Linked DNA regions of Caenorhabditis elegans. The protein of the gene in region 1 purifies or fractionates together with the protein of each later gene. This does not show direct contact. Each region holds a gene or a part of one and is shown in the gene's direction. Other genes may lie near its edges.

Region 1 (4,420 bases):
ACGTGGGACTAAAAAACAATTCTAGTCCGCGCGTCGTGTACTCCTCTCAGACAAACAGAAGTTGCACAATTTTTTGAAATCGATCCCTTTTAATCACTTTTTCCTATTCTTCTAGCGTTTAATTATTTTCTATTGATTTTATTTACACAATGGGGTCAAAAAGAGTATGCCCAGATGCAAATAATTCTGTAAAGTGTAAGTTTTAGGCCTGGGCTGAATATTAAATCTGAAAATAATACTTTTCAGCAAAAAAAGCAAAAACCCTGGATTTTCTCGCTCATCCTCGACGGAAGATTGCAATTCAGTTTTTCTATTTGGGCTGGGAGCATGATGGGCTTGTTCAACAACCGCATACACAAAATACGGTGGAAAATGTAAGAATTCTAAAATACTTTATTTAAATAAATTAAAAATGTTTCAGCATATCATGCAGGCACTAATAAAAACTCATTTAATTGAGGACTGGACGAAATGTGATTTTTCGCGTTGTGGACGGACCGATAAAGGAGTTTCCGCATTTAAACAAACTGCTGCAATGGTTGTTAGGTTTAAAATTTTTTTACTGAACTCGTTCTCATTTCAATTTTCAGATCTCTGTGTCCCGGTGACTCAGGAGTGTTTTGGTCAGATTCTACGCAAGAGCATCAAAAAGTGGACTATAAAGCTAGTGGAGAAGAGCTTCCCTATGTAAAAATGCTCAATGGAGTTCTTCCGAAAACCATCAGAGTCTTCGCCTGGGCTCCTGTCGCGCAAACGTTCAATGCCAGATTCGATTGTAATAGAAGAACATATAAATATTCTTTTGCTAAAGCTGACCTTAACTTAGAGGTTGGTGTATTTTCATTATATTTTTATCTTCAAATTATTATTTATTTAGAAAATGCGTCAGGGCGCGGAGCTATTGGTCGGTGAGCACGATTTTTCGAATTTCTGCCAAATCGATATGAACGAGAAAAGACTGCTGCAGTCTTATGTTAGAAAAGTCTATGAAGTCAAGGTAGAACAAGTATCGACTCATCCAGAAAATGGTATTGTTTATTTATTCAGAGAGTTTAGTTTTGACAAGTAAAACTTTAGATATGTATTCAATGGTGGAGCTCACTGTATCTGGAAGTGGTTTCCTTTGGCATATGATTCGATACATAGTCACGATCCTTCAAGAAATTGGAAGAGAAAATGAACAACCATCATTAATCTCACAGCTTCTTGACCTGAAAAAATATCCGAGCCGGCCGCAGTACACCTTAGCCTCGGACACTCCTCTATGCTTATTCGATTGTGGATATAAATCTGAAGATGTTGAATGGAAAGTTCATGACTATACACTGAAAAGTACAGTGACCGGACTACAAAAAACCTGGGCGACGTATCAGGCGAGAAGTCGAATGATGGAAAATATGCTCGGAGAACTGACTGGAATGGCTGAATTCAGTTCAGGAGATGCCAATAAAGGACTTCACGAATTTGTACAAGATCGTCCGATACCTTCAAATTACATAAGGTTTGAGAATAGGAAAATGTGTGAAAGCCTGGAGAGCAAGAAAGAGAAAATGGCAGAAAAGAAGAAAAATGGAGAAGAATCTTCGGATAAACTATGAGAGTTTAATTGTTTTTTAAGTTATTAATACGGTTTTGTTGTTGATTTTTTTGTTTTTAAAAATATATGTTTCTGTTTTTTGATCAATTTTTTCCTTTTTGTTTGATTTATTGGTTTCTGAAATCCAAATTTATTTCTGAAAATTGTAAGAAGTTGTCTTTATAATCGAATTTCCATTTCCAGCTAGACAGAAATGTCTATAATCAACGACGAAAATGGAAGAGGCTATAAAGTACATCTTTGCAAGACGAATATTGCACAGAACAACAATAAATTTTACGATATGGAATTGTTGGATGAGGGAGGTGATTTCATTGTGAAGCTTATCAATGGACGTATTGGATATCGTGGTGTCACACAATTAAAAGATTTCGATGACCTCGACAGAGCCAAGAAGTTCTTCGAAAGCAAATTCTACGAGAAAACTCATCTTCATTGGGAAGAAAGAGACGATGAACCGGTTCCCAATAAATATGCAGTCGTTGAGTTGGCTACTAACGCAAGACAGACTGAAAAAGAAGTTAAAAAGGAGGAACCGGAACCTGAGCCGAAAGTTGATGAGAAAAATACACGTGGAAGGAAGAAAAGAGGAATTGTTAAAGAAAAGAAAGAAATCAAGAAAGAAGAGGAACCAGTTGAAGAAGTTAATGAAAAGCTGAAGGAATTGATGAAATGCATCTGCGACGAAGATGTTCATCTGGGACTCTTGAAACAACTGAAATTTAACGAAGCTTTTGGAAGACCAATTGGTGAGTTTTAAAAAATCGTATTAAAAAATTAGAGAAAAATTCAGATTGCCTCTCACTTGCCCAACTCACCACTGGATATGAAATTTTGAGTAAGATTGAGGAATCGATTGGAGGAAAATCAGGTATTTTATGAAATTTTGTAAATTTGAAGTTTTAAGTTGAAAAATCTAAATTTAGGCCATTATCTTCCCTGAAAAATGGAAATTCTTTTAGCTCGAAGATCTACTCGTGGCCGGCCACGAGTAGCTGACCGTGTTCTTGCTGTTAAATCCGATGGTCCATCTCTTCACGACATCAACAAATATTATTCTCTCATCCCTCATTCATTTGGTTTCTGTGTTCCTCCAAAAATTGATTCTCATGCTAAAATTCAAGCTGAACGAGAGCTTCTGGATGCACTGAAAGGATCAATTGAAGCATCACTGGAACTGAAGGATTTGAAAAAGACAGCATCGTCGAAGGATATTTATCAAAGACTTTATGAGCGCCTCCCGTGCCATTTGGAGCCAGTTTCGGAAGAAATTGCAGGAAAAATTGGAGACTGCTTGGCTATGCGTGGACCCACTCATTGTTACAAGCTTTCACTCATTGATGCATTCGAGTTAAAGGATCCAAATGAAATTCCAACTGAAGCTCCAGTTGAAGTTCAGGAAGTTCCGAAGAAGAGAGGACGAAAGAGCACAAAGACCGCTGCTCCAACTGTTCCACCACCAACTACAAAACGCCTTCTTTGGCACGGTACTCGTGTGACAAATGTCTTCTCAATCCTCATGAATGGACTTCAGTTCCCAGTTGGAGATCGCTGTGGTCTGATGTTCGGAAATGGAGTTTATTTCGCAAATGTTCCAACTAAATCCGCGAATTACTGTTGCCCAGAGGCTTCAAAGAGAGTTTTCATGCTTCTTTGCGAGGTGAGAAATCCACTGAAAATTTCACAATTTTCAATTTTTTCTATTTCAGGTTGAAACTGCGAACCCATTAGTTCTCTACGAGTCAGAAATTGACGCGGATGAGAAAATGGAAAAAGCGAAAAAGACGTCGGTTTATGCAGCTGGAAAGCACACTCCAAGAGACACTGTTGAAATGTAAATTCTGATTTTTTTCAAAAAATTCTTATCCATGAAATTTTCAGCAATGGAATCCCGGCATTCAAGTCAAATCTTGAGACAATCGAAGAAGAAACTCGTCTTCTCTACGATGAATATGTGATGTTCAACAAGGAACACTTCAAAATAAAATATGTTGTCGAAGTGAAAGTGGATCGTCTTACCGCTAAGGAAATGATGGCTTAAATGCTAATTTCTCATGTAATCTCTCACATTTTATCTGTTTCTACCTCTCCATTTAATTTTCTGATCTGAATTTGTCAAGCTTTTGTAACTTTTTTTAAACCTGTTAATCCAATGATACTCCTCATTTTTTTAAAATCACATTCCTGGAATTTGTTTTTGCTCAAAATCTCATCTTTTTCGGTTTCACTTCATTCATTTTCTGCTCATATCAAAAAACAAATGTATTTTTGAAGCAATTTAAATTTTTCTCTAAAATTCTGAAGGTGTTGCTAATCCTTTTTATATTTTTTGAAGCTGATTTTCACAAGCTTAATCAAAACGATTTTCAGAAAATGTCCAGAAGAAAATTGAGAGCAGTGGAATACGATCGTGACTATATTAATTTCGATGGTAGTATTTCAGAAATTGTTCTACAATAATTAACCAAATTCCAGACGATAATGAGATTCGCCGTCTAATCGTCACTGTCGAAGAAGCCCATCTGAAGTGTCGTGATCAAAATTGGTCTGCTCAGATGCTTGACGAGCAGGATGTAGCTAAATGGACTGTGGAGCTTGAAAAATATTTTACCGAGTTTGGTGCACCGTCTGGATGCTCCAGAGCGGCGGCGATTGACTATGTCTTGAACGCTGCTGTTCAAAAGATTTATGAACAGAAAGGTTTGCAAAATTAGGTGATACGTTTAAATACACGATATCTGTATTTCCAGGCGGTGACACTGAACTCTGCTCGAGTCGGCTCAGAGAACAAGCTGAAAAAGTGCTCGAAGCACATCGAGATTC
Region 2 (6,205 bases), on another chromosome or scaffold:
GTCCCCGGCACCGGAACTGCAAATTCCTACCGTAACCCGTCAATCGGATGGTACTAAGATCCATGAAATTTCGGGCCACAAGTTCAAAGCCGTCGGACTTGCTCAGCCGACGTTTTGCTCATTTTGCTCCAAATTCATATATGGTGTTGGAAAACAGGGTTACAAGTGTCTAGGTGAGTTAGTTGAAGGGTACAAAAAAAATTTTGCCACCTCATGGGCTCGAACCCCGGTGGTGTGCTTGGTAGTTTTTGGAAAAACCCACTGCGCCATTCGGGCATTTTTTTTGAAAACTTGTAAAAATGATCATAATAAGAGAAACACTAATTTCAATATATAATTTCTAATTTCGATGTAACAGTTTTGGATTTTAAACAATTTTACAACTTTCACGAGTTTTGAAAGTCTATTTTCAACGATTTCTTAAAACTTTTACGCTCGGACATATAGAAATTTGAATTCCACGTGTCTGAAATACCCAAAAATATTTTAGAAATTCGAAAAAAAAAATATTTGACCACAGGTCGGACTCGAACCCTGGTCGTAAGATTTGTTGTTCTCGAAAATCCCACTGCGCCATTCGGGCACTTTTTCCTTAAAACCTGTAAAATCGTTTGTTCATTTACAAGCTGGTCTTTATATGTCTAAACACTGCGTACAAAAATATTTGACCACATGGCGGGCTTGAACCCCGGACTTGTGCGCGATAGTTCTGGAAAATCCCACTGAGCCATTGGTGCATTTTCTCAAAAATTAGGCAAAAGCTAGATTTTAAGCACGGAACCTGATTTCTAGTGAATATTAGTTCATATTTCATTTTCCAGGCTGTGAGACAGTCGTTCATAAGCGGTGCCATGCCCTCATCACCGCCCGCTGCACCTTCGGACCATCTTCCCGAGCTCCGGTTCCTGCTGAAACTACAAATCTGAAAACTCGTCGTAGCCGATCTGCTTCGGAAGAACCTCCATCAAATACTCATCACTTTAACAAGCATTTCTTCACTCGCCCGACATTTTGTGATCACTGTGGAAGTATGCTCTATGGGCTCACGAAGCAAGGCGTTCAGTGCACGGATTGTCATGCAAATGTTCATTTTCGATGCCAGGAAAAGGTTTTGAGGAATTGTGGAATTCAGTGTCAATAAATATTGAAAAAATTGAGAAAAAAAATAAAGAAAAATGAAGAAAATTGGAGAAAGTTAAATTTGATAATCAGTCATAAACTCATATTGTTTTCCGGAATAAAGTTATTATAGTTACAATTGAGGCTCATAAACATCATAACAAAAATATTTGTCACTGTGCGGGTTTGAACCACGGACCTCTGATTGGAAGACATTAAAAATCCCACTGCGCCAATCGGACACTTTCCCGAAAGTTCGATTAAAATGACTTTTGCAGCTTGAAATTTGTTAATCACAGCTTGCAAAAAATAAATACCCTTGTGCGGACTCGAACCCCAGCCGTTTGATTGGAAGACGTTGAAAATCCCACTGCGCCAATCGGACACTTTCCCGAAAGTTCGATTAAAATGACTTTTGCAGCTATAAACTTGTTAATCACAGCTTGCAAAAAATAAATACCCCTGTGCGGACTCGAACCACTGACATCTGATTGAAAGACACTAAAAATCCCACTGCGTCATTAGGACATTTTCCTGAAAATTCGCTAAAAATGAATTTCCCAACTCGAACCTCAATTTCTAAAGCTTGCAAAAAATAAATACCCCTGTGTGGACTCGAACCCCGGACCTCTGATTGATAGACATGGAAAATCCCACTGTGCCATTCGGACATTTTCCTAAAAATTCGATAAAAATCACTTTTGCAGCTATAAACTTGTAAATCACAGCTTGCAAAAAATAAATACCCCTGTGCGGACTCGAACCCCGGACGTTTGATTGGAATAAATTCAGAATCCCACTGCTCCATTCGGAAATTTTCTCGAAAATTCGATTAAAACGTTTTCTTTCGTTATTTTAAAGTTTTTTCAGTGTAAAAATAAACTTTTCACACTCAATTATGTCATACATACCATATAAAAGTTAAAATATTCGTTTTCAGTGTAGTTTTAGTCTGAAAACCCCCACCAAATTTGCATTTTAAATCGTCGTCCGTTGACGTCTGTTCTATGTGTTCATTTCATACTTTTTTGTCAATTCCATGTAAAAAATGACCGTAACTTCTGAAAAAGACGGGTTAAAGAGTATTTTGAGTCAGAAGTATACGGTGGAGCGGAAAGATACCGTGCAGCATGTGCTCGAAGGGCCCGGTTTGAGGTTTGTTGGTTTTAATGAAAACATTTAATTAATTTTTGGGAAAATAAGAAAAACCAGGGAAAAGTGTATAAATTTTCAAAAACTTGAATAATTTCAAAAATATTTTCAAAAAAAAATTCCAAAAAAAAAAAATTTCAAAAAATTTTTTTTTTTTAATTCGAAAAATTCCAAAATTGTTTAATTTCCGATTTCCAGCCGCAACCAAAGCAATGCCAGTGTCCTAACCCTCCCAGGATCCCGAAACACCAGCTCCAACCACTTACCGGCTCAACGGAGCACCTCCGTGGATGAAGTGGCTAGGCATCGGGTCACTTATGAGATGGATGCTGGAAAATCTGAAAAATCTGAAAACCAGAATCCAATCTCTCAATATTATCAGAAAAATCATTATACTGTAACAGGAAATCAGGAAACTTACCAAAAACTTCCCAGGAACATTTCGGCGAACAGATTTCAAGTGGATAAAGCTTCAATTAGTCAGAAAAGTGCTCCGCGAGCCAGTGAGCCAATGGAAATGCCAATGTTACCTCAGGAAAGGCGTAAGTCAGTTTCAAAAAAAAACTACAATTTCCTAAAAGCTATCAAGATGTTTATACGACAAATTAAAAGTTTAGCAGAAAATGTTGGCGGAAAATTTAAATTTTTGAGCAAGAAGTTCAAGTTTTATAAAGATGATTCTTTTAAATTTTAAACTTCACTAGATGATTGGGCGGAAAATTCACATTTTTTCGAAAAAATTTGGCGGAACATCGAATTTTTAATAAGAAAACTTCGGCGAGAAATTCAAAATTTCTCAGAGATTTTTTTTTTCAAAAAATGTATTTTACATTCACATTTTCTCAAATAATTCAGCAGGAACGGCAAGACTTTTCAGAATTTTTAAAAAATAATTTCAAGTTTTCCTGAAAAGTTTTGGCGGGAAATTCAAATTTTCTTTAAAATTTTGACGAGAATTTCAAATGTTCCCAGAAAAATTTAAAGAATTTTCAATTTTTTTAAAAACTAGATTTCGCCCTCACCGACTAAAATTTTTTTCCAGAATTCGACAAATCCTTCTACTGGTTCGCAATGCACCGAAAAAAGTTCGGGCTCCGCTACATAGCTTTGCTGGTTTTGGCGTTGATCTACACACTTTTAGGGGCGACGGTGTTTTATCTGATAGAGGGTTCGAATGAGAAATCGAGACTGCATGTTCGGGAGCAAAACCTAGATAAGTTGTTGGATGAGCTAGCAACTGTGCTCTCAGAAGCCGTCAATGACCCGGAGCAAAGTTCTGAGCATCAGAGGATGAAGGAGTTTATAAAAGTATGGTGGTTTTGAGAAAGCTTGCCGGGATTGTCATTTCAGGAATCCTACATTTCCCTGCAAAAACACGAGGAGCAATACAAATGGAGCACATACTATCGTCTAGAGCACCCTGACAATCTCAAATGGACATTTTCAAGCGCATTTTTCTTCAGTATGAATGTTTACACAACTACCGGTTATGGTACCTGATCCAATTTTCTGTAACTTCAGCCCAATTAATTCCAAGGTTCCAGGTTCAATCTCAGCTCAAACCTTCAGCGGTCAGCTTTTCACAATGATCTACGCATTTTGTTTTGTACCGGTGACACTGGTGATCTTAAGGGATCTAGGCCAGATGTTCTTGGTGAATTTCACAAAATTGTACGCGCACGGGTTGACAGCGGTGAGGAGGATTCGTGGAAAGCGAGAAGTCGATGAGGATGAGATTATACAGCTGCCCATCAAGTTTTGTATGACTATTCTGATAGGTTAGCGGAAAGACCTCTGAAGCTTCGAAGATCTTAGAAGTAGCTCCTGTAGCGTCAAAATGCTCAGAGCTAGCATGTACCCGACTTTGTTTAAGATACCTGAGCTTGACTAGGCTATCCATAGTTTGTTAGACATTCTAACCTCGTCGAAACTTCCTAGAGTCAGCCAGGCAAGCCTAGGCTACCTAGGCTCTCTAACTGTCCTTGAAGACGAGTCTTACATGGTTCAGGCCATCATTTAGCCCGCGGTCTCCAACCTTACCCATCCTCGGTTCCAACTTTCCAGCCTACCTCCTCCTCTGCACCACGTTCGTGTACCTCTACGACGCCGTTATGGGCCCGGAATGGGACGACGGCCTACCGTACTTCACCGCATTCTACTTCTCTTTCATCTCTCTCACAACTATTGGTCTAGGCGATGTGATGCCAAATAATGTTCCGGTAAGCTTTTTGTACCTTTTGTGTTGCTTAATTTCAAAATTTCAGTACGCCCCGCCGGTCTCGATGATATTTTTCATCGGCATGGCAGTCACAAAAGTTGTGAATCGAGCAACATTTATTGCAGTGGAAAATGGGGTTTTTGGCCTGATGACCTTGGCGGAAACCAAGATTAGCATGCTCTTGACGGAACGGAAACCTGGTGTAAAAACTGTCAGATCAACATCATCAGGGTCTTCAGCAGAGTCCGTGGATTCAAAAGAGCCACGTGGATTTGATGGGGACTCGGATAGTGGATCGGATGATGGGGTAAGTCAAGCAGAAGATCAGAGAACATATTATTGCATAATTTGGAACTATAGTCACTCTGAAAAGTAAAAGAATCAAGTGAGAAAAAGTGGGTAAAACTGATAACGTTGGAAGCGTTATTTAAAGTCTGAACATGAGCTTGAGAATAAGCCTCAGCTTAAGTTTAGGCCAGAGTCTAAGCCTAAGCTTAAGCCAAAGCCTAAGCATAAGCCTGAGCCTAAGCTTAATTTCTCGAGTTTCTAGTACCTAAGGATAATCGGCCAACAGGAACCCCCTCAAAAATAATAAAAAAACCGGAAAATCCAAAGCCTAAATAGCGTCAGTAGCGAGCCAACGCTCGCCACTGACGCCAAGCCTGAGCCTAAGCCTAAGAGTAAGATTAAGCCTGAGCCTAAGCCTAAGCCTAAGCCTAAGATTAACCAAAGCCTAAGCCTAGACCTAACCCTAAGCCGAAGCCTAAGCCTAAGCCAAAGCCAAAGCCAAAGCCTAGTTCTAAGCCTGAGCCTAAGCCTAAGCCTGAGCATGAGCCTAAGCTTCAGACTAAGCCTAAGCCTGAACCTAAGCCTAAGCATATGCCTAAGCCTCATACTTTCAGGTAATCAACCGCCGCCGAAACGAGATGATGAACACCTTCACCGTCCGATCAATTGCCACATTCATGCGTTCCAACCATGACGTCTATGGTGGAGGATTCGGAAGAGTTCAACTAAGAAGAGGAGACCTTATGAGCTCTAATGCTTTACATACTGTACCTTGGGTCAGACCCTTACCATAATAAATTTTTCAAACCTTTTCTTTTTCGACCATCAAAGATCCAAGATTGTTCTGGCGTCATTCCAGGGAAAAATGAAAATGAAATGAAAAAAGCGAACTGGGAACAAAAATAATATGTCCACTTGTGGAAATTAACTTTCTCTTTAGTGTCCTCAAGTACAAATATACAAATATGTTGCATTTCTGGACAATTACAGACCATCGGCCACGTAATTTAGCCGACGAAAAAAGTGAAATTATTGCATAGGGGGATGAAACCGTAGCGGAAACCAAAAAGGCGGCGCCTGAAGAAGAGAAGCATAATTATAGTGAAACTTAGTGTTAATTGCCTTCTCTACATTGCCTTGTTTCACATCATTTTCTCCTTCCCCTCATCATCATTCATCAGTCATGGGCATCCGTATCACTTTTCCAGATGTTCGTTGATTCTGGTTTTTTATTTATTATGTGAATTTGTTCTGATCTTTTCTTTTTTTGCGGATTTCCTTATCAGAAACTTTTCGGCTTTGAAGATTAGAATATGCTTTTTTATGTTTCAAAATATCATTACTTATATATTTAAAAAAATCATTCGTTTGCCTCCTTTGTAGTTTGTAGCCTATGTAGTCGTTGTAGTCTGTGAAGTTAGTGGGGGA

What was found.
Region 2: the proteins of parp-2 (region 1) and twk-36 fractionate together in Caenorhabditis elegans (co-fractionation; one large-scale study listed by BioGRID). This does not show direct contact.

Annotation. Positions count from the first base shown.
Region 1 is NC_003280.10:9,591,257-9,595,676, forward strand, and holds parp-2 (Poly [ADP-ribose] polymerase 2), read left to right. Parts: upstream 1-1,780; 5' UTR 1,781-1,790; coding exon 1,791-2,346; intron 2,347-2,390; coding exon 2,391-2,468; intron 2,469-2,559; coding exon 2,560-3,257; intron 3,258-3,306; coding exon 3,307-3,431; intron 3,432-3,478; coding exon 3,479-3,638; 3' UTR 3,639-3,872; downstream 3,873-4,420. Other genes in the region: putative tRNA pseudouridine synthase tag-124, read left to right, coding at 150-195, 247-374, 422-546, 591-828, 878-1,028, 1,078-1,598; E02H1.5 (uncharacterized protein), read left to right, coding at 3,971-4,028, 4,073-4,297, 4,348-4,420. UniProt on the Caenorhabditis elegans protein: Poly[ADP-ribose] polymerase modifies various nuclear proteins by poly(ADP-ribosyl)ation, a post-translational modification synthesized after DNA damage that appears as an obligatory step in a detection/signaling pathway leading to the reparation of DNA strand breaks and programmed cell death.
Region 2 is NC_003283.11:17,743,017-17,749,221, reverse strand, and holds twk-36 (Potassium channel domain-containing protein), read left to right. Parts: upstream 1-2,162; 5' UTR 2,163-2,167; coding exon 2,168-2,274; intron 2,275-2,469; coding exon 2,470-2,813; intron 2,814-3,313; coding exon 3,314-3,579; intron 3,580-3,621; coding exon 3,622-3,763; intron 3,764-3,815; coding exon 3,816-4,049; intron 4,050-4,335; coding exon 4,336-4,490; intron 4,491-4,535; coding exon 4,536-4,796; intron 4,797-5,391; coding exon 5,392-5,571; downstream 5,572-6,205. Other genes in the region: R12G8.1 (Phorbol-ester/DAG-type domain-containing protein), read left to right, coding at 1-173, 822-1,141.